Linked DNA regions of Cricetulus griseus. The protein of the gene in region 1 interacts with the protein of each later gene in a pairwise test. Links are inferred from orthologs where the notes say so. Each region holds a gene or a part of one and is shown on either strand. Other genes may lie near its edges.

The links. The genes of interacting proteins can lie anywhere in the genome.
Region 2: the proteins of Ptk6 (region 1) and Fcho1 interact in binary tests that used the Homo sapiens proteins (3 or more experiments, as listed by UniProt). The two-hybrid records come from large-scale screens. The link is inferred for Cricetulus griseus from reciprocal best matches to the Homo sapiens genes PTK6 and FCHO1.

The regions. Positions count from the first base shown.
Region 1 is NC_048599.1:695,632-706,351, reverse strand, and holds the start of Ptk6 (protein-tyrosine kinase 6), read right to left. Parts: upstream 5,051-10,720; coding exon 4,824-5,050; intron 2,913-4,823; coding exon 2,791-2,912; intron 2,359-2,790; coding exon 2,195-2,358; intron 1,801-2,194; coding exon 1,647-1,800; intron 1,146-1,646; coding exon 984-1,145; intron 1-983. Other genes in the region: tyrosine-protein kinase Srms, read right to left, coding at 8,640-8,833, 9,081-9,237, 9,319-9,500, 10,076-10,234, 10,335-10,476. UniProt on the Homo sapiens protein: Non-receptor tyrosine-protein kinase implicated in the regulation of a variety of signaling pathways that control the differentiation and maintenance of normal epithelia, as well as tumor growth.
Region 2 is NW_023276806.1:248,089,166-248,100,150, reverse strand, and holds the start of Fcho1 (F-BAR domain only protein 1), read left to right. Parts: upstream 1-4,038; 5' UTR 4,039-4,148; intron 4,149-7,720; 5' UTR 7,721-7,761; intron 7,762-8,280; exon of another isoform or gene 8,281-8,284; 5' UTR 8,285-8,328; coding exon 8,329-8,355; intron 8,356-10,985. UniProt on the Homo sapiens protein: Functions in an early step of clathrin-mediated endocytosis. Has both a membrane binding/bending activity and the ability to recruit proteins essential to the formation of functional clathrin-coated pits.

The sequences.
Region 1 (10,720 bases):
TGAGGGGTGTGGTATTAGTGGTGTGGTGCATGTACTTGTTACTGTGGGTTTGTGCACATGTGTACATGTGTATGTCTTTCCTTGGTTGTTCTCCATCTTTAGGTCTTTATAGGAGGAGGGGCAGAGGTTGGAGACAGGGTTTTTCTGTGTAGCCCTGACTGTCCTGGCACTCACTCTGTAGATCAGACTGGCCTCGAACTCACAGAGATCAGCCTGCCTCTGGCATGAACCACTATGCCCAGCTTCCATCTTTAGTTTTTACATATAGTTTATGTGTCTGAGTATTTTTCCTGCATGTATGTCTGTGTATCTATCACATGCATGCCTGATGCCTACAGAGGCCAAAAAAGGGTGTCAGATCCCCTTCAACTAGAATTATGGATGGTTGTGCGCCACCATGTGAGTGCTGGGAACTGAACCCTGGTCCTTTACAAGAACAATAAGTGCCCTTAACTGTTGAGCCATCTCTCCAGCCCCCACCCCACCAACCACCACTTTAAAAAAAAATAAGTAACTTCTTAAACAAGAAAGCAACAAGTTCATCTGGGGACTCCTGGCTGTTTTGTGTGGGTCAGGCAGGGATGGGTAGGATCTGCATGTCTGCTGGCTCTTTTGTTTGTTTGTTTCCTTATAATTTATTTGTTCTTTTAAATTTCATTTTACATTCCAACCACAGTTCTCCCTCCCATCCCTACTCTGATCCTCCTCCTCTCCCCCCAAGCCCACCCCCAGTCCACTCCTCACGGGTAAGGGCTCCCATGAGGAGTCAACAAAGTCTGGTACAATAAGTTGGGGCAGGCCCAAGCCCTTCTCCCATGCATTAAGGCTGAGCATGGTATCCCACCAAAGGGAATGGGCTCCAGCAAGCTAGCTCACGTACCAGGCTTGTATTGTGTTCCTATTGGTCTGGCTCTTTTATGTGTATCTCCTGCTGCCTCTAGCACTTTCACCTCAGGGAAAGGAGGGTGGAGCTTGCCACTTACCCCGTAATAGCTGCAGCAGGCTTCCCTTGGGCATGAGCTCTGTGATGATGTAGACAGGGTCCCCTGCAGATGCCACGGCATACAGTGCCAGGATATGCTTGTGTCGCAGTTTCTTCATGGCCTGGATCTCAGACTGGAAGGTGTGCTGGTGCAGGAGGTTTTCTGAGAGACACCAGGCTCAGTGAATATAGTCTTTGACCTGTGCCTCAGGCACGAGGTCCAGGCCTCCTGCAGCAGCTCAGGAAATATGGTCAGCCTAGGAAGACAAAGGCTAGCCCCCAAGCTGCAGCACTAAATCACCACCACCAAGGCCTCAGTGCCCCAAGCCTGATGTGTCAATCTGTCCTCCTATGCCCCACCTGGTCACAACTGCCAAAGTCAAAACTTCCCATCTGGATATTTTCAAGGTCTTGGCTGACCTGATCCTTGAAGGATCAGGTATAAACCTGAGGGTGAGGCTGGGATTCTAGGTAAAACTCACATTTCCAGTGACGTTTCAATAAAAATGGGTACAATTGAAGTAAATTACTCCCACCATGATGCTGTAGGTACCCAGTAAGTATGTTGGGATACCTCTAGCCGGGTGAGACTAGAAGTGCCCACTGGTAGAACAAGTGGGGAAGTAACATGTGACCAAGCTGAGTTGGGCCTGGGCCTGCTCACCTCTAGAGATCACCTTCACAGCCACACGGACCTGGCCTTTCCAGAGCCCTTCAAAGACCTCCCCAAAGTAGCCGGCTCCCAGCTTCTTACAGAGTGTGAACTCATCCCTGGGCCTCTCCCAGTCATCCCAGTGGGGCAAGGGCTCAGTTTTGTGCTGGAGAGACAGAAAGGGTGATGGTGGTGATAGGAGTGGTGGTTAGGTCACTCAGCTTGTCTTCAGGGAGTGTTTGCTCTGAATCCCACATGAGGGCTCTATTTATCTTTAAATTTAGAGCTACCCCCAGCATAGTAGTATCTGAGCATCCTGCATAAAAATGTAGCTGTCTTTATCCATCAAGGTTAATAAGCCCCATCAGGCAATTGGCCACTGAACCTTGTCACCCGACCTACCATGGGTCAGGATTTAGCGGGAGCACAACTGAGCTCTGGTGAGTCAGTGTAATAAGAGTGACAGCCAAGAGGAATACCCTTTTCTGAGCCCCTCCTGCCTCAACACTGTACTCCACCTGTCTGACCCCAACTACATCACAGAGGAGCCAGGGGCCTACCTTCCAGCAGGGCATGGTCAGTTGCAGGCCATGGGACAGGCTCTGGGTCTTATGGTAGTCCACGAGCTCAGATAGGCTGGGGAAGGATACTGCCTCACTCAGGTGCAGCCAGCCCACATTGTCCTTCCAGATCCTGTAATGTCGCACGGCCTGAGAGTCCCGCACTGGGGTGGATGGCCGGAGGAAGGAGGCATAAGCAGGCATCCTACCTTGCAAGTCCCCCACTTTGCCTGCCCCTGCTCCCACCCTGGACACTGCCCGCCCAAGGCTCCCTGGCCCTCCTGTCATAAGCCATGGCTGTTGTTTCCTGCACCCCTAGGTTATTGGGCCGTGTGCACAGTGGACCACCTGTGGAGCCTTGGTTTCCATGACACACATAGGATATGCCAGAAAGCACAGGGAAACAACCCAACCTGGAGTGCCTGGCTCTCTGCCTCAAAGGCTGAAAGTGGGTAGCTGGACCACAGGGAGGGGTCAGGGCTTCCAGTGGAAGAGGAAGATGTCCCAGACTTCACAATCAGAAGAAAGGCAGATCACCATGCGGTCAGGAAAGTCTCAGAGCTAGTATAGGTGAGGGGAGGTCTGAGAAGCAGTACCAGAGAGAACATAGTCTGCTCCTGGCTTCTGGCTGACTCTGACCAGGAAGGCACCCTTTGAGTTGTCCTCAGCCTGCAGCCTGTGCTTGGCCTCTAATCGAGAGATGCAACCAAAGAACCACCTGCAGGGGAGAAAGTCAGCCTCAGCCTATTGATCCTCACCCCAGACACACGTCCACTGGGTTTCTCAACAATCTAACCTTTGCCTTGCCTGTCTGGAGTCCTAGCTACCCCTAGCTCCTATCTCATACTCCCAACCCCAACTAATCTGTTTCTCATGTTGCTCCCAACCTTTTGGTCCATCATGGGCCCTGAAAGACCTAAACGGCTGGTTCTGGACACCAGAACATGTCCTAGTGGCCCAGCAGTGGGATAGATGTGCAAGTACTGCCTACCATCCTGCTCTGGAGGATGACCACCTGTGGGTCAGTCTGTCCCTCAAGGCCTGCAATTCCATCATGTGGATGTCTCATAACAGCTTGTGGGTCCAGAGCTACTGATCCCAACCTTGGCCCAGAAATAGGGGAGAGAGAAATCTCAACAGCAATCCCCAGTGCTGCTTCCTGGCTTATACTTTCACACGTGTTTTCATAACCATGCAAATCACATATCCATTTGCACATGTGCACTTATGTGCACAGGCATGCATTCTCATCCATGCGATCACATCTGCATACTTGCACAAGTACATACACACACCCTTATGTGCTTGCACAGACACAGTGGCACATATTTATTCTCCCATTCCAAAGCATTTGTGCATGCTGGCTTCCAACATGAGGGATGGGGCATGCCTGAACTGAACTACAGGTGGAAGTCCTTGGAATTCCATAGGTGATTTCTGCCCTTGGAGTCTCCAACACCCTCAAGATCAGTTGGAACGTAGGAGCCTAATATTCAGCTCAAGCCCTTGAAGCCCACCTCCTGAGGTCCTGTGAAGTTAAAGAATCTTGCCTACTCACCCCTCTGACCACTTTGCCTCCTCTGCTGCACTCCTCCTCTGACTTATTCACCTGGATTAGATTCTCTGGACCTCAGAGCTTTTGCTCTTACTATGTTGGCCACGTAATTCTCTCTCTCTCTCTCTCTCTCTCTCTCTCTCTCTCTCTCTCTCTCTCTCTCGCCACAGGACTTCACTATGTAGAACAAGCTGCCCTTGAATTTAGAGATCCATCTACCTTTACCTCATGAGTGCGAAAGGCATATGCCACCACCTGGCTTTTCTCAGTCTTTTATATATACCGCTCATGCCTACCTTGTTCCCATCATGAGCCCTGTCTCCGGAACTGTCCTTGGTACCATTATTACTCTTGTTTCTTGTCCCCTTGTGTGCTCATAATCTTCCATTGAGCACAATAGGTGCTCATTGTGAAATGAGTTGTGGGGGGGGGAGGTCTGAGGAGCAAAACAAGAAACCCCTCCTGCTGGACCCTTCCCAGCCTTAGTTCAGAGCTAAATAGCTTGGGTACTTGGGTAGCTGTGGCCATGCCAACACCAGGTACTACTGTAGCTCCTTGAAGACTCTAGGGGCTTAGGTATGTGGGTGGCCAGGAGCAATGGACTAAGGTACTTGAGTGGACATGAAAAAACATACCACTGTGTTTGCAACATGTACCCCCAACAGGTGATACAAGTAGGTGTGCCCCAGCACACCTCTTCTTTAACTAGGTTGCATATCTGGTTCCGGCTGTTTGGAAAGTGAGCAAACTTCACACCCCCAACAGTTCTTGAATTCCCACACAGATCTTTTCTCTTGCAGCCAGCATTCTAAAAACCCATACTAGGCCCTTCTGTCCTATCTGGGTCCTAGCAGAACCGTATGTATGGGAAGTGGTCTTGGGTGGCTCAAAACAAGAGGCCCCACTCCCCAGTGTCACACAGAGGTAGGGCCCCATCAGCAACCCTGTATACCAGAATGTCAAGGATCACAGTATGACCACCTGAATGTCTAGGATCTCACACCCTCTGGCTTCCCCAGTCCAGCCCAGTGTCCACCCCATCTCCCCCTGTGCCAGCTCTCCGGGGCCACTCACGGCTCAGACTCCACAGTTTCCTTCTCTGCCAGGTAATTGTGGGGCACATAGCCCTCAGCCAAGGCCTTGCCTGCTGCATCCAGCAGGGTGGCCCACCACCACTGGTCCTCCTTCCTGGTAACATGCAGGAGGTCTCCCGCCTGAAAGCTCAGTTCGTCGTCTGTTCGTGCCTTGAAGTCCCAGAGGCCCATGTATTTAGGGCCCAGGTGGGTCTTGTCCCAAGACATCACGGCAGGCTCAATGGCAGAGCCAGCTATGAGCTGCTTATGGACACTTACTCCTGGGAGTAGGCAGGGCTTTTCCCAGCAAGCTAATCACACCTACTTCCTCATGATAGGAGAGCAGCCACACCCAGCACCCATTGGAGATGAACTAGCCTGACTCCACCCCAAATGCCCTTTTGCTTCCTGTATGTTCTTTTGTCTTCAGGGTCAAACCATGCTCCATGATCACACATATTCAGTGGAAGTCTGACATCTCAGCAACCCCTTGACAAGACCCAGTCACGGCTACATGGAAGAGCCCACTAGATGGTGAGCATCAGGTATCAGCTGAACCCTCAGCCCCTGGGGTGTGAGTCTTGGAGCCAAAAGATGGAGAGGGGAGTGGGTGGAGGGAAATTTCAAGGATGGTGGGCAGTTTGCTAGAACACACAGGAACAGAGTAGAGCGCAAGGTGCTGTTTCTTCTACAGAAAAACAAACAAAAACCCTCTCCTACACTGGCTGGTATCTCTGCCAATGGAGACTTCCCTTCTACACACACACAAATAGAGTTATGAAGGACTTGACAGTCCTGACAGCCACCTCCCTGGGGAGGTGTCCACCCACCAGACACTGACAGGACTAAATCTAGGAATGGCATCAAGAGAATCAGGCAGGGCCTGTGTTGGAGACAAGGGTGGGAGGGACCTGGGTGAGACCCATGAGCTCCTGCTAGCTACAAAGCTCTGGTTCCTTGAAGTGAGTGAAGACACTCAGATGCTCATCTATCCTGAAGAAGCCACCCAGGACAGCATGCTAGACCACAGCCTGACATCTGGGGAGACAACAGGAGCCAAGGGATATGAAGGCATGAACATCCATGTGGGTTACGGGCTGGCTTAGCGGGCCCTCTGGTATCTTCAAACATGTCTGTAGTCCATAGACCGCAGCTCAAGAAGCAGACACTGTCCTGTCTTCCCAGATAAGGACACAAGAGGGCAGCCACCAGGGCCTCTGCAACCCCACCTCCCTCTTTCTCAGGCTCCCCTTCTGCTCTGTGTCCCCTCCCCCAACTCCCACCATGTCCCTTTTCTACTCCACGCTACCCCAATTCCTACAGCCCTGCTTGTGACTGTTACAGCCTTCCTGCCTGCTCCCCTGCCCCACACTAAACCTTGAAATCTCCAAAGATTCCCTCTCTCCAGAGTGGCCCTAACCACCTTTCTCATTCATAAGGATCTGGAAGACAGCCACAGAGAAGGATGCGAAGGGAAACTGACAAGTCTGTAAGGATGAGTGACCTGGGAAAAAAAGCTGTATGAGACTATGAAAGTACTATTTGAATTTGAGGGTAGGGTGGGGAGTGTGGTGGTGGTGGTGCTGCTTCATGCTAAGGATCAAATCCTGGTTCACATGCATGATAAACAAATGTTCTACCAGTGAGAACTGTGTCAGGCCTTGAATTTTCTTTCATTGAAGAGATATAGCACTACTCACCTGCCACCTTTGAGGATTAAGAACAGCAACATGCTGTTATTAGTAGCTCCACACCTACCAAGCCCAACTCAGTTCCCAACAAGGTGTGGGGAAGGAGAATTACAGAAAGAGGAAAGGAAGGAGGATGGTACTGGCATGGATCAGCCTCAAGAACTCCACAGTTGCTTTCCTTGTCTGCTCCAGAGCCCCAAGTCTTGAACCCAAGTTGTATCCCGGACAGTCACATGTCCCTGAATGAGACTTTTGTGGGCAGCTCTATGAAAGATATCAAGTAGCTCAAAAGTCCCTGGCCTCTCCCAGGAGGGCCAGACCTGTTCATCTTTGGCTGACTAAACACAAAGGAATGTGCCAGGACCCAGCCAAACCTGCTTCCATGGCTTGGCCACAAGCCCAGCACCATGTTTCTCCCCATCCTGTCTCTAGTGTCCTCCTAGTTTGACTCATGGTAGCCACTTAACATCAGAATGTTATCATCTTATGCCTTGCAAGCCCTTGGGCCCACACTGCTGTTGTGTGTGCTGGCAAAGCAAGGAGCCCACAGCAGCCAACTGTCAGTTCCAGATTCCTCCTCTCAAGAGGTCAGAGCTTCAGGCTGAAGCAGAGGCAGGGCCATACCTCAGTTCAATCCCACTGTCCCTTTCACCTACAAAGACCAATGTCAGCACACTCTGTCGGGCTGGCCTCCACAGCTCCTAGGAGCACTCTGTTCTGAACCTGCAGGCAGGTTGATGTGGGTCCCATAGTGACTAAGCCTCTGTCTATGGTGCAATCCATGCCCTCAGTTCCCCTCATCCAGCCCTGCTTCCGCATGAGAAAGCCCATGACTGGCTAGGACCCAAACTCCTTGTTACTTAAGGGGTTACTTCATATGAGATCCAGTTCCCAGCTCTCAGCCAACCCACAGATGTGGTTGGTGATCATTGGCCTCTGTGCAGAGCTGGCCCCAAATTCCATCCCTTCTAGAGGACTGCCAGCCTTTCTGCCTTATACGCCTTCTACAGCTACAAGGAGAGTGAAATGATCTTGAATACCTGAGCACAGCTCCCCACCCCCAATCCTCAATATACTGCTCCTAGCGCCCTAAAGTGTTGAGTGATTCAGGGCCCAGCTTCTCAAGGTGTTCCAGTCAAACACAAAAGTGACCCACGGGGGCTTTGCCCCAGATGGTAGGTTGTCTGGTTGTCAGTATCCTACCTATATCTGCCTAGTCCTGCCAACCAGAAAATTCTGCCTCCTAAACACTGCCCTTCCAAAGAAACAGTCTTGAAATTTACCCTTCTGCATCTGGGAAAGGCCTGGGCGTGCTGACTACCAAACAACTAGTCTTCCCTTTCTGAAACTGAAGCTTCAACCCTTGGCCAGGGAGCTGGAAAGGGCTGTTCACTTGGCTCCAGCAGTCCGCACCTTTAATGTCATGGGGGTCCACATTGTAAAGCAGCTCTGGCTCTGGGGTGTGGTTCAAATCTTTAAGAGCCTCCACCACTTCATTCTGGAAGCTGGTAGGTGAATCCACTGGGGCATGTTTATTGAAGCAGACTCTGTGCACCTAGAGTTTGCCGGTACCTGTGGGTGCAGTGGGTGTGGGCAGGTGATAACTGCTGTCCCCTAGGAGTGCACAGCCTGTACTGGTGAGATATGCTTGGGAGCCCTAGCCCTGGATACTAACCAAATCCACAGTGAGACAGAGAAATTGGGCTTCTCATCCTTGATTGTAGGAGGGCGCTGAGGGAGCCCGGGGTGAGGTGAGGGTAGGGAGGAAACTGCTGCCTCTACTGGTACTCCTTTGTCCAGCATTTCCTCACAGCTCCTCTTCTACCCTTCACCAACACTTTGGAGACACTGGGGATTCAAACCACACCAGGGGGAGGGCATCAGCCTTCACTTCTAAGTGAGTGCTCATGACCAGGCCCAGTCCTCATGTGTCTGTCCATCCATCTGGTGTGCCCATGCTGGTACTGGCCTATGCAGTGAAGGAGCCCCAGGGTTGGATTCTCTGAGGCTGTTGCCATTCCCAGTTGTGCAGCATCTCCCATGTGTGTTGGTGACAAGTGTTTCCTTGGGAGACACCCTTCAGGAAGCAGCTGCTGTATCTGCTGCATGTGGGGCTGGAGACTTGGTCACGTGAGGCTGGGATGGAGCCGCCTGTGTATGGCATTCATCTTCTCCCTCAGTGTGGCGAAGGTGGGACGCTCCTCAGGGCTGCCCTTCCAGCACTCCACCATAAGCATGTAGACCTCTGCTGGGCAGGCAGCTGGGCGTGGCAGCCGGTACCCACGACTGATCTGCTGCAGTGTCTCATGGTTGGTCATTCCTGGTAAGGGGAGAGCAAGAAGAGGGGCCAGGCAGCAGCTGCCTTGATTCTGTGTGGGGGTCACCAGAGAGATTCCCCCAACTCTATCCTCTGCATGACCAGTCTGTGCTGGTACTCCAGCCCACTGACCTTTGGGGGTCAGTGACTCTCAGGGCAGGGTCTATCTCCTCCCTTAGGGTGGACCCCAGGCTACATCCCACAGACTACACTTGCTCTGATAAATCATGGTTTCTCTCAGATGGCTCACCTTCATAGGGACACTGGCCATAAGTGAAGACCTCATACAGCAGGATGCCAAAGGACCAGACGTCTGACTTTGGGGAGAAGATTCGGTAATTAGCTGCCTCAGGTGCCGTCCACTTGACAGGGATCTTGGAGCCACTGCTTGGTGAATAGACGTCATCCTGGGGATGTGGGGTAACGGTGAGGAATTCAGAGTAGTGCCTTTCCCTCTGCGGAGGTTAGCAGCCTAGAACCCCACTCACCTTGAGCAGCCTGGCCAGGCCGAAATCAGCCACCTTGCAGGTGAGGTCATCACCCACCAGCACGTTCCTGGCTGCCAAGTCCCGGTGAACAACACGACGCTCTTCCAGGTAGCTCATGCCCTCAGCTACCTGGCAGGCAAACCCCAGTAGATGAGGTAGGCTCAGAGCCTTTCCCTCGGGGCCTGTAGAGAGAGGGGCTGGGTGGCAGTACTCCTGAGGGCACAGCATGATGGCTGGCAAGACAAGTACACGTGTAAATACGCTTCCTCTGTGCTCTGGTTCCCCCATCTCTGAGGAAGTGAGAGCAGCACCACCTACTAAGGCCTAGTAGGTAATGAATAAAATAAAAAATAAAAAAGGAAGTCTTGCAATCACCACAGGCCTCAGTGCAAGCTATTTCTTGGCACCTGCCTGGACCCCCAAGGGAAATAGTACCAAGCTTGGACTCCAAGGCAACAGATCAGAGGTTAGTGACACAAAGGGAGCCTCACCCTGCCTGTACTGCAGTCCTAGCCTCAGAACCACCAGGCTTTGACTCTCCTTTAGCCAATCTAGGCCTGGCCCAGACCCTTGGCCCCAATGCCTCTGCTGATCAGAGGCCCAGTAGGACCAGGTGTCTGCAACTTGGACCACATGTGTCCCTTCCAAAGGGCTAAAGACTTCTTTTTGAACCCAGGGCATGAATGTGATGAGGGTTAGTAGATGTGGCTGGGTAATGTCAGGAAGTGTATTCATTGCCCAAGTGGAGGGTACTTACTGCCCAGGTAGACCTGCAAGTTGCCCTTGCCCATGAGTTCAGTAACGATGTACACAGGTTCACCCACGGAGCATATGGCGTGCAGCCGGATCAGCCGCTCATGCCTCAAGCTCTTCAGTGCCTCAATCTCCTTGGTGAGGTCTGCCAGTTTCATGTCAGCTGTGGAAAGGATGCTGCTCCAGAACTCTGCATGGCCACCACTGCCCCAGGCTCCAGGGTCAGAGGGCAGTGCTGTTCAAACCTGGCTGCAAGGCCTCACCTGATTTGATAACCTTCACCGCCACAGGCATAGAGCCCAGCCACAGGCCTTCCCACACCTCCCCGAAGAAGCCTTCACCCAGCTTTCTCCGAAGGACAAATTCTGAGCGTGGCCGTTCCCATTCATCCTGAGCCAGGGGCATCTGTGGGAAGGGACACTCAATGTGCTGCCTGAGACTCACCTAACAGGGTGGGCAGGAAGGCTGGGCTACTATTTGAACCTAGCCTTCCTATGAATCTCAGGAAGAGCTCCAGCATCAGGCCTCAGCCTCTCCCTCCCCAGCATACCCTTTCTCCAGGCCCAGGCAGAGAAAAGGGGAGACCAGAGCTGACCTCCAGGAGGGCCAAGCCAAGAGCTATGAAGCTAATTACTTCGGGGACTTATGC
Region 2 (10,985 bases), on another chromosome or scaffold:
CAAGGCCTCCACAGGTGCAGTCAGCACGGTGGGTCACATGTAGTAAGACTGCACTGCGGGAATGAGCCCAGGGCCACAGCCCCATGAAGACCTACTGCTCCCCCTGCAGCCTGAGTCCTTCCAAGGCAGATACACCCTGCCCACCTTCCACAGCCTTCACTGGCCACAGGAGCCACCATCTCAGCCCCACAAGATGGCACTCTGGGCTGGGTCACTTTGTATTATTTTGCATGTGTGTTGCAGTCAGAAAAAAACTTGGAAGGATGGCTTTCCTCCCTCAACCCAGTGGGTCCAGGGATTGAACTCCGGCTTTCTGGCTTGGTTGCCAGCACTTTCATCCACGGCCATGAACTTAACAGCAGATCTGCTTTTAAGCATCCTGAGTGCTAAAAGTGACAGGTGTCTCAGGTCTCAGAATTTATTCTTTCAGATTTATTTTGTATGTACCAGTGTTTGCCTGCATGTCTGTCTGGGCACCACATACTCGCAGTGCCCACAGTGGTCAGAAAGTCATCAGGCCCTTTGGAACTGGAATCCTGGAAGGGGAGTGATGAGTTGACCCAGCTCTCTCCAAGGGTAGCCAGCGCCCTTGGCCTTGGAACTCTCTTCTGCCCTGTTTTTGTTTTTGTTTTTGTTTTTTTTCTTTCCTACTGTGGCGTCTTCCCTGGGCCTCATTCATTCCCTATGCGTGCTCACAGGTACTTCAGTCAGCCTGAAGTCTGTGGTGATGGGTGTCCCAGCTATGACGGAGCAGAAACAGTCGCTGTGTCAGCCCCAGGGATGGGCCCTCAGGGATCAAAGGTCATCTCTGCTGACCACCTGTCTATGTGATGAAGAGGATGCTGGCAGTCATCAGGGAGTCCAAGACCCTCCTGGTCCATCAGGCAGCAGTGCTCAGGAGGCTACAGCTGTGGAGCACTGGGGCCTTGAGTTCACCTCCCAGCAACTCATCTCCCCCTTGCCAGCAGAACCCACAGTCAGGGGTCCTGAACCGGAAGAGCAGTCAGTACAACCCATGTCTAGCACCGCTGGGAACTTAACACCTCAACTTCCCGACTGAGCTTTCAGCACTTGACCAGGCCAGCTGGCAAACTCACTACATAAACCTTAAACTCATGATCCTTCCACCTCCACCTCCCAGCTGCTGGGGTGACAGGCTTGTGTCACACAAATGGTCCCGGGGCCCAAATTCTGCTTCCTGTGAGCGCATGCAGGCCAGTGTTCCAACTATAGGCACTGCTGACTGAGCTCCCCCAGTACAGGCACAGATGTTCACCAAGGTTGTGATAGGAGGCTGGGTCCAGCCAGCGTTTTGTTCGGGCTGGTGGGCTAGGTGGCCATCTCCAGGGGCCATCCTCCCTCACAGCAGGCCCGTCATGACCCAGCCCCTTCTGCTCACTCCTTTCCCTCCCTCCCTTCCCATTATGGCTGATTGCACACTAAAAGCAACCATGCAGCCAGCCGGCCGTGGACGCTAGGGGGTGCCAGGCCCACAGCTCAGAGCCCCAGGGAATTGGACCTGGGGCGGAGCGCGAAAGGAAGGAAGGAGACCAGTAGTGTGTGCCAGGGGCCGGCCAAGTGCTTTCATTGTCCAGGATGCTGAGGCAAGAGGACGTTTACATTAAGGCCAGCCTGGGCTACATGGTGATATTGTTTGAAATGGGAAAAAAAAAAAAAAAAGGGCCGGGCGGTGGTGGCGCACGCCTTTAATCCCAGCACTCGGGAGGCAGAGGCAGGCGGATCTCTGTGAGTTCGAAACCAGCCTGGTCTACAGAGCAAGTTCCAGGACAGCCTCCAAAACAATACAGAGAAACCCTGTCTCGAAAAACCAAAAAAAGAAAAAAGCAAGAGGACCTGAGTTCGAATCCCAGAACCCTGGTAAAAAGATGCTCTTGAAGGGTCTGTAATCTCAATACGTGGTTCCGAGGCAGGAGGATGCCCGGACTCGCTGGTCCCCAGACTCAGCAAGCGATCCTGTGTGTGCGTGCATGCGTGTGCACGCGGGCGGAGGCGGGGCTTCCGGGGACTCGCGCGGTTGGTTTGGGCTGTGCCTTCCCACCGTGCGCGTTCCCGAGGCTGCAGCGTCTCCTCCCCAGGTCTTAGCCGCAGGTCCCAGCCTCCCTTCCCCGCCCCTCGCTCGCCCCTGGTCCAGGTTTGCAATGGGAGTCGCGGGTGTGAATGCGGTCAGGGAGCAAAGGGCGGAGCCCACGCCCGGTACCTTCCCCGGGGGGAAAGCCAGGCGGCTTCGGAGCGGGAAGAGCTCCGAACGGCAAGAAAAGGACCAATCCGAGGGGAGATGGCGGGTGGGGCGTGGCTCAGTGTAGAACAACAGCTGAGTGTTCGCAGACACCCCCTAATCCCATTTTACCCCCAAAACAGAAGGAAGGAAAAACCGTAAATAAGAAAAGAAAGAAAGAAAGACCGTGCGGTTCTGGGAGGTCCTGCAAGAGCAACCACCCTGGCGTCTTGGTCACAGTTTGCCAGACCTTGTCACGGCAGAGCAAAGCTGCCCACTTCTCAGAGGCTAGAAAGGGGAGCTGGGTGACCCCTCCCTGCAACTAAAGCCCCACCTCCTAATGTGTCAGTTACCTCCTAGTCCCTTAAACTGGGAGTTGTTGGTGGACTTACTGGTGGTGGCCAAATCCTCTGTTTTCAACTTGGGAGCCCAGGCGAGCCTCTGCATCGCTGAGATCCCGGCGGGAAGTACTACTGTGGTCGGCTGGCTCTTTTACACTGCTGCATACTGTACCCTTTGGAAGAACATTCTGGATCTAAACCCCTAACCATTCGATCTGACTCAGGCTTAGGGCTGGCTCCGTTGCTAACTGTGAACACCTTGCTGTAAAGCAATGCGGGGCCGCATGCCAGTCTGTCATGAAGGGCAGCCAGGGCAGGACGTCAGGCAGGAACCGAACGGGGCCGTGGGGAGCGCGCCTTACTGCTCTGCTCTTAGGGCTTCTCGGTTTGCTCTTTCCGCAGCCCAGGGGTGGAGCTGGGTTGTCCGGCAGACAGGTCCGCAGCCTGGGGGAGGCGTTTTCTGTGAGGTCACTGAGGTTACTTCCCAGGTTTGATAAAAATCTAATCATCATGGTCACCCATTGAGAGGTGTGCATAAATGGTATACACAATCACACACACACACACACACAATCACACACACACACACAATCACACACAGACATACACAATCACACACACACACACACAATCACACACAGACATACACAATCACACACACACAATCACACACACAGACATACACACACAATCACACACACACACAATCACACACAGACATACACACACAATCACATACATAGATATACACACACATGCACATACACACATAATCACACACAGACATACACACATAACAATCACACACACAGACATACACACACACAATCACACATACACTCACACACAGACATACACACACATGCACACACATTCACACACACAATCACACAGACATACACAATCACACACACAGTATCACACACACATACACACATGTACACACGCGCGCATTTAAAATGTCTAAGGCCTTTGTGACCATTCTCAACCCCCAGAACCTGAAGGTGACTCGAGAACTGAATGTCACACAGGCTCCCTGGGCAGAAAAAGGACACTTGGAATATGTAGCTCTTGCGTGGCGCTGGATTCGGTCACCACAACAGCCTGAGTAAGTTCATGACGCCTAGTGTGAATGGATGGACTAGAGTTGCCTTGTGACCTCCAAAGCAACTCCAAGCGCTCTCAGTGCCTTTGTTTGTAAAATGAGGCTCCGTATTGAATATTACCTCGCTCACAGCCTTGGAGAGGTTCCTCAGTGAGCCAAGCACACTGTAGGCACTCAATAAATGCCGCTCCCTCAATAAATGCCTGCACCTCCTGCCACTTTAAACTATGCAAATAGCCTGCGGGTGAGTGGCGCGGCTCCACCAACCAGCGCAAGACTTGTGAAGCTCGGCGAGGCGGAGCTCCTCCCGACCACACCCCATGGGCGGGACCGGCGGCGCGCTCCGCAGCGCGCGGGGAGGGCGGGGCGCGGGTCCAGAGCGCGCAGGTGGCGGCGGCGCGGGGTGAGTGTCCCCGGACGCGGGGCGCGGGGCGCTTGTTCCCGAGCGTGGGGCGAGGAGCACGGGGTGAGTGTCTCCGAAAGCGGGGCGCGGGCGAGCGGGCGAGCGGGCGTAGCCGTCATCCTGAGCCCGCCCGAGCGCAGGTGCTGCCTGCAGAAGGCGGGGTGCTGCTCCCCTCAATCCGGGTCTGGGAAGCGGGGACCACGAGGACCCCCAAATTCCTCCTCCAGATCTTCAGCTCCCAGGACCTAGGGTAGGGGCCGCCTCCGTCGCTGCCCGTGTGGTCCCTGTCCTCGCCTGACAGCCGGGGTCACCTCCCTCCCATTTCACTTGGCAGGCAAGTGGGGGCTCTGCAGGGCGAGGCAGTGGAGCGGGGCCTGGAGCGGCCTGGAGCCCGCACCGGGGACTCCCGCGCTCTGTGAGGGGGGCGGCCTGCGTCTGCTCCCAGGGACAGAGTTAGTCGAGGTGACTGAGATGGGATGCGGAGGAGGTCGAGGGTGGCAGCCCCTCGCTCGACCGCAGCACCGCGGAACCTGCTTCATGGTGACCTTGGGCAGGTGACAGCACCTCCCTGACCCCCAGTCTCCTCTTTGAAATGTTGAGGTTGAAGAGGCCAGCCTGTCTGTCTCAGAACCCCAACATGCACACCCCATTTTCGTCAGATGGAGATCCCAAAGACTCAGTTTTCGGCCCTTTAAAATGGGTTGAGCCTGGCAGGGTTATTCCTGTCCCTGGGAGGCTGAGCCTGCAGGATGGCGTGCACCTTGTGGCCAGCCTGGGCTACATAGCCAGGCTGCCCGATGGGTACAGTCTGGCCTTCGCGGAGGAACCTAGGACCGGGAGAGGACAGTTCCCACATGACCATTAGGCGGGATCCGCCTCCTATGGAGACCTGGCCTCTGTCACCCGGGTCCGGTCCCGGTCCCACCGGTGTGGCTGCCCGTCACACCCTGACCCACATACTGTCACCGATGGCAGGGCCCAGCCGGTTCCTGGGCGGAGTCCCAGGTGGGAGGTCAGGCGCTTAGCCCCTGCCCCTTGCGGGACGGTGGGGTGAGTCCCAGACAGGTGTGCTCAGGCTGGCTGAGCCTTCTGTGACATGGGCCGGAACCCCGTGGGAAGATCAGAGGGGACAGGAGAGTGAGGCCGCGCTGTAAACACTGCTCCTCATGATATTAATTATTAATTGCATACATTAAATGGGGTCATGGCCAACGAGAAAATGGGATGTGTCTTTGAAGGGTGTGACCAGAGTCACCAGCACCTATGGACTGGGGTACACAGTGGTGCTCAATGTGTGTGCATCTAATGAAGTGACCCAGCCGAAGGATGGCACAGGGGCCTCAGTTTCCCTGCCCGGAGCACTGGCTGAAGTCTGGGGGCAGCATGAGCTTCTGTTTGATGGGATCACAAGGTTCAGAGAGGAAGGCATGGGTGAAGGTCACACAGCAAGGGGTCAAGGGCTGTGGGCACAGCCAGCCCACACCAAAAACCCAAAATTCCACTACCCAGGCATGTCTATTCTCTGTGTCCAAGCTGCTGTTCCAACACCCAGGCCCCAGGTTTTGGGGAATTGGTGTGGGGTGGAATGCTGTGTGACGCTGAGCAAGTGCCTATCAGTCTCTGGGCCTCATTCTGGTGTTTCAGTGTCCAGGAAGTCCTGGGTTACATTGGGAAAACTGTCTTAGCTCCACAATATTTTTAGGGGCCTCCATGATGTTTTAACTTCTTTTCAAATCATATTAGTAAAAACAAAACAAAACAACCCCCCCCCAATAACATGGGGATGAGGGACACTCTGTAGTATTCAACATCTACATTTCAAAGTCAGGCGTGGTGATACACCCCTGTCACCCCAGCACCCGGAAGTCTGGGTGGGGAGATCAGGACTTTGAGGTCATCATCTGCTATATTTAAGGCCGGCCTGGGCTACATGAGACCTTGTCTAAAACAAGCTTTAATCTGTTGGCCCTGAAGTAGTTGTAAAGAATGTTTGGGTTCCCCTCTCTGAGGGGAGGCTTCAAACATTTTCAAGCCTCAGTTTCCCTCTTGGTTATCCTGGCCCAGCTCCGGGTGTTGTTGTACTTATTCTAATTAGTGTTTCTCTAGTAATGGTATTGTTGTCCCCACCTGCTCCCTCAGCCCCCGCCCTGCATGCCACCCTGTGGCTGTGGGCAGGTCCCAGGGGTGCTGGGCGGGGAGGTGACGGTTGGGTGGCAAACAGGGCGGGCCAGGCTTCCTGTCCTCCTCCAGACATGGGCCTCCACTCAGGGCTGGCGGAAGTGTCAGGGGCCCATGGCCTCCCGGTGTTTACTCCAGCCCCTAGGGGCTCTCAGCCCTGTTCGGCGCCCATGGGTGAGTTTGATCCCAGCATACATCTTTGTCACCTCAGAACAGGAAGGTGTCCCACAGCTGTGGGCTCAGGTCTGGGGTCAGCCATAGCTGTCACTTCCTGGGCCAGGTGGCAGCGTCAGGGCCCATTCTTGGCATCACCTCCTGCCACCCCAGGTCGGCCCTGACCAGAGTGCAGGTTGTGGAGCTTTAGGGCCACTGGGTGGAGTTCTGGGCACTGAGGTGGGCAGTCTCGGCTGTGAGAGACAGCGTTTGACATGGGTGTGATAGCCGGTGGGGTGAGTGAATGTATGGGGTTGGGGACAGTGGCTTTGCCTGTGGCGGGAGGGGGTGGGGGACTTCCGGGAACAGCACCCATTCCCCAGGAGCCTCTTCAACCTGGCAGAAGTTCATCTGTCCTGTTGGAGACGGCTGCCACATCCCCAGTGTGGCTCTACATGTGAGGGCCTGGCCACAGGGGGATGAAGTTGCCACACGGGTGCAGGGGGATTGAGTCCCCTGTCCTCCAGCACATTCTAAGGGATTCAGATAGGCTGGCTGGGTTCTAGCCAGGCACCAGGATGCAGGAGGAAGGTGGTGTGTTGGCTCCAGGCTGTCACCACAGTACTTGGGAGACTGAGGCAGGAGGATGGACATGAGTTAGACGTCAGCCTGGGATGCAAAGTGAGACCCTGCTTCAAAAATCAAACGAAACAAAGAAAAACCATACTATGGACATATGGGGATTTCCTCCTGGAGTGTTAGTGTGTCTCACCACAGAGAAGCTTCTAGAAGCATTGCCTAACCCAAGAGTGGGAGGGCAGATATTTGAAAATGAAATCATTATTTCCCTGGTGAACTCCTATGCCTGCTCCAGGGCCTCAGTGGCCATACCCCTCCCACTGGACCTGGTTTCACCAGCGTCCTCCTTATATCTGGGACACACAGCCTCCCAGGCCAGGCCAGGGGAACCTGCCAGGCACAGTGACATGCAGCTTGAGTCCCTGAACTCTAGAGGCTGAGGCAGGAGGATCCAGAGTTCCAGGCCAGCTTTCCGTGTTAGGTAAACTGAGGCTCTGAACTAAGTGGGTCCTCCCAGAGGGGCCAGGATAGTCTGGTCCTATGGTCAGCTGTCCCTGTCTAGTCTGTTGTTGGGCCTCCTGGCTCCAGCTGTCGCCTGCAGCCCAATAGCTCATGAACTATGAATGAGCACACCAGCTCCGATGACAGCTGAGGATTCTGCACACCCCTCTGTGCCACACGGCCCCACCCGATGCAAAGTGACCTGGGTTTTCTACCTCCTACAGATGGAGAAACTGAGGGACAGAGCCGAGTGACTCAGAGCCAGGTGAACAGTGGCTTTCAAAGGTGGTTGGGACACATGGAGCCCCTGACAGAGGGAGGAACTGTGTCCATGACACTTCAAGGGACTCTGTACATCATGCACAGACTTCTCCCACAGAAACCACAGACACAAAATCCGCGGTCCCTTCATGCCATGTGACCTTGGCAAGTAGCTTCCCCTCTTGGGAAGTGACTCAATTTACTTAAATCTAAAATGGCCTAGAGCCATTCTGTTCATCCAATACCACTGTGGACTTTACCTATCCATGCTTTAAAACCCCTTGTACCATGGCCCCCTCCACTCTAGCTCCTGTTCCCCAGCCAGTGTTCAGCCCCATGGGACCAAGACATATATGCCCCTGTTACCTAGGGCCACAGGGCCAAGGCTAAGGCATTTCTCAGGGCCTGGCCTGCTCCCGGCCTTGGACCTTCACTTCCTTAGTGAAGGGAGGGTGGGTGGAATTTCCCTGGTCAAGCTCTTGTTGGGTTATGATTCAACCCTGAAATGTACCTCTCTTTTCAGACAGATCCTGGACAGAGGCCAGCAGGGGTCTCCTCAGAGGCCACCAGGATGTCATATTTTGGGGAACATTTTTGGGTAAGACGTGCTGTTTCTTCTTTTTCTTTTCCCTTTTGTTCTTCACCACTCTATTTTGGTGGGGGCTCAAAAAGAGCTGTAGAGATTTTGTATGGTCGAGGAGGAACTGGGCAGATAGAAGGTAGAATTTAACGGGTGGTGAATGCCTTTAATCCCAGCACCCGGGAGGCAGAGGCAGGAGGATCTCTGTGAGTTCAAGGCCAGCCTGGTCTCCAGAGTGAGTGCCAGGATAGGCTCCAAAGCTACAGAGAAACCCTGTCTCCAAAAAAAAAAAAAAAAAAAAAAAACCTTGGAGACACAGGTTGCTTTGACCCAGGACAAGGAACACAAATTATAGCACTGACAATCAGGCCCAGAGCAGCATGTGTGGTCTGAGAATCACTCAGTAGAAGAACACAAAGCTGGGTGGCCGTGTACACACCTGGGATCCCAGACCTGGGGAGGCTGAGGTAGGAGAGTGGCACAGTCCCTAGCCAGCCTGGGCTATACAGGAACGTTTCCACAGATGGCATGTTAGAACCACAAATGACATGTTAGAATCACAGATGACATGTTAGAATAGCATGACCTTGCACCTGGGCCACACTGAACTCCTCAGATCTAGGCAAGCCAATCAGGGAGATTCCATTTTATTTTCATTTTGGGAAATTTGTTTTTTGGGGGAGATTGCCCCCCCTCTTGTCCCTCTTGGCCATCTAGGCCTGCTGCAAACCAGGTCTGGGGATGGGAGACTCACATCTGAGCCCTGAGAAAGGAGCTGCCATTCTTAGTGACACAGAGCCAGCCTGAACCTGTGGCTCAGCCCATCTACAGTTTGCTGTAGCTCTGAAGGCCAGTTTTCCAGGATGTGCAAAAGCCATTACAACCACAGGAAACACCCTGAGTTCATCTCAGAGGTGTGACGCTGGGTGGCACTCAAGGATCAAGGTCTCCTCCCAGTTGGTTGGGCCAGGGAACTGGGGAGCCACTGAGGATGCAGGAGCAACCCCAGAGTGGGAGCCTGGAGTCTGGAGGCATCAGACTGAAAGGCCCCTTCCTCCCCAGTAGGCCCACAGCTTGCAAAGTGGTGGCTGGTTACTAAGCAACCGGTTGCCCCTAGCAACAAGCCCCACTCCCTCCCCTTCTCCCTCCCCAGCTGGGCCTTCTCTTACTTGCTTCTGCTGTCTTAAAGGGCCCCCCACTGTCCCTTGCCACCTGCAGGGCTCAGATTCTCCAATGGCTCTGTGACCCCTGGGAGGAGTTGTTCTATGGGCTGTCATCAGAACCCCTGTCCTGCAGCAGCAGCCCAGGAGACACCCACATTTGGGAGCGGTGACAGCTCCTACGTGGATTGTCAGTATTTTATATTCCAAGAGGTGTGAAAATGGGGGAGAAGTCAGTGAGTAAGGAGAGAATAGAAGCCACCCCAACTTCCCTCCCATGCACACCCCAAGATAGCTGCAAGGGCTCAGACCTTCAAGTCAGGGTCCCTCTGCTCAGAGGTTCTCCCTGGGGAGGGGCTGGCCAGCCAGCCTCAGTTTCCCCAGGAGGTACAGGAAATAGATGAGAGTTCTGTCTTTTGGGACATGGATCGGTGGCTGAGGTATCAGGGTTCCTTTTCTATTAATTCCCTGCCGAGGATGGAGCCCAGGGCCTCAAATGTAATAGGCAGACCTCCACTTCTGAGCCATGTCCCCAGCTCCTCACCAGGGGATCCTAGGCAGGGGCTCCACCTGTGAGCCATGCCCCAAACTGATTGGTTTTAGGGGCACCCCAGTTCCTTTGAGGCAAGTCTGGACCAGAAGGCTGGAGAGCACTGGGGAGCCATGGCAGATGTGTGAGCACTAGAGGGGTATCAAACCGTGTTAAAAATGTCCTTTGGCTGTCACCCAGAGGTTCTGATCAGAGACATAGGCCCTGGATGTCTTTCCTCAGACCCTCGGCTGTCTGCCCACTTTGAGGAGGCAGACAGTGTGGAGGGCTCGCCAGGCCCGGGAACTGGGCCAGTGGTTGGCTCTGTGTTAGCCCCAGATAATGGCCTGGGCGGCAGTGCCTGGTGCAGCCTCACCCGAGGATCCCTAGCAGTGGCAGGTGGGCTCGGCGGGAGCTGTGTGTGGCGCCTTCATTGTTACCCAGAAGGCCTTTGTGTCTTGCAGAGTACCATACACATCTCACCCATGAAGCTACTGTGTGACATTTTTCATGAGAGAACTAGGGCTCAGGGGATGCAGCCATACCCCAAAGTAGCCCAGTGCACTTCAGTTGGAAGAGACAGTATATACTCCTGGTGGGGTAGAGGGTATAACCGTGACCTTGTGGGGGCTCTGAGCAGAGCCCTGGGGCCATGGAGTGGTTTGTGTGGGAGCTGGAGGGGCGTTGGCCACTGATGACAGTAAGGAGCTTTTGAGAGCAACGGGCCTGTCTCTCTCTGTTGAGAGCAACGGGCCTGTCTCTCTCTGTTGGTAGCAATGGGCCTGTCTCCCTCTTTGAGAGCAATGGGCCTGTCTCTCTCTGTTGAGAGCAACGGGCCTGTCTCTCTCTGTTGAGAGCAACGGGCCTGTCTCTCTCTGTTGGTAGCAATGGGCCTGTCTCCCTCTTTGAGAGCAATGGGCCTGTCTCTCTCTGTTGAGAGCAATGGGCCTGTCTCTCTC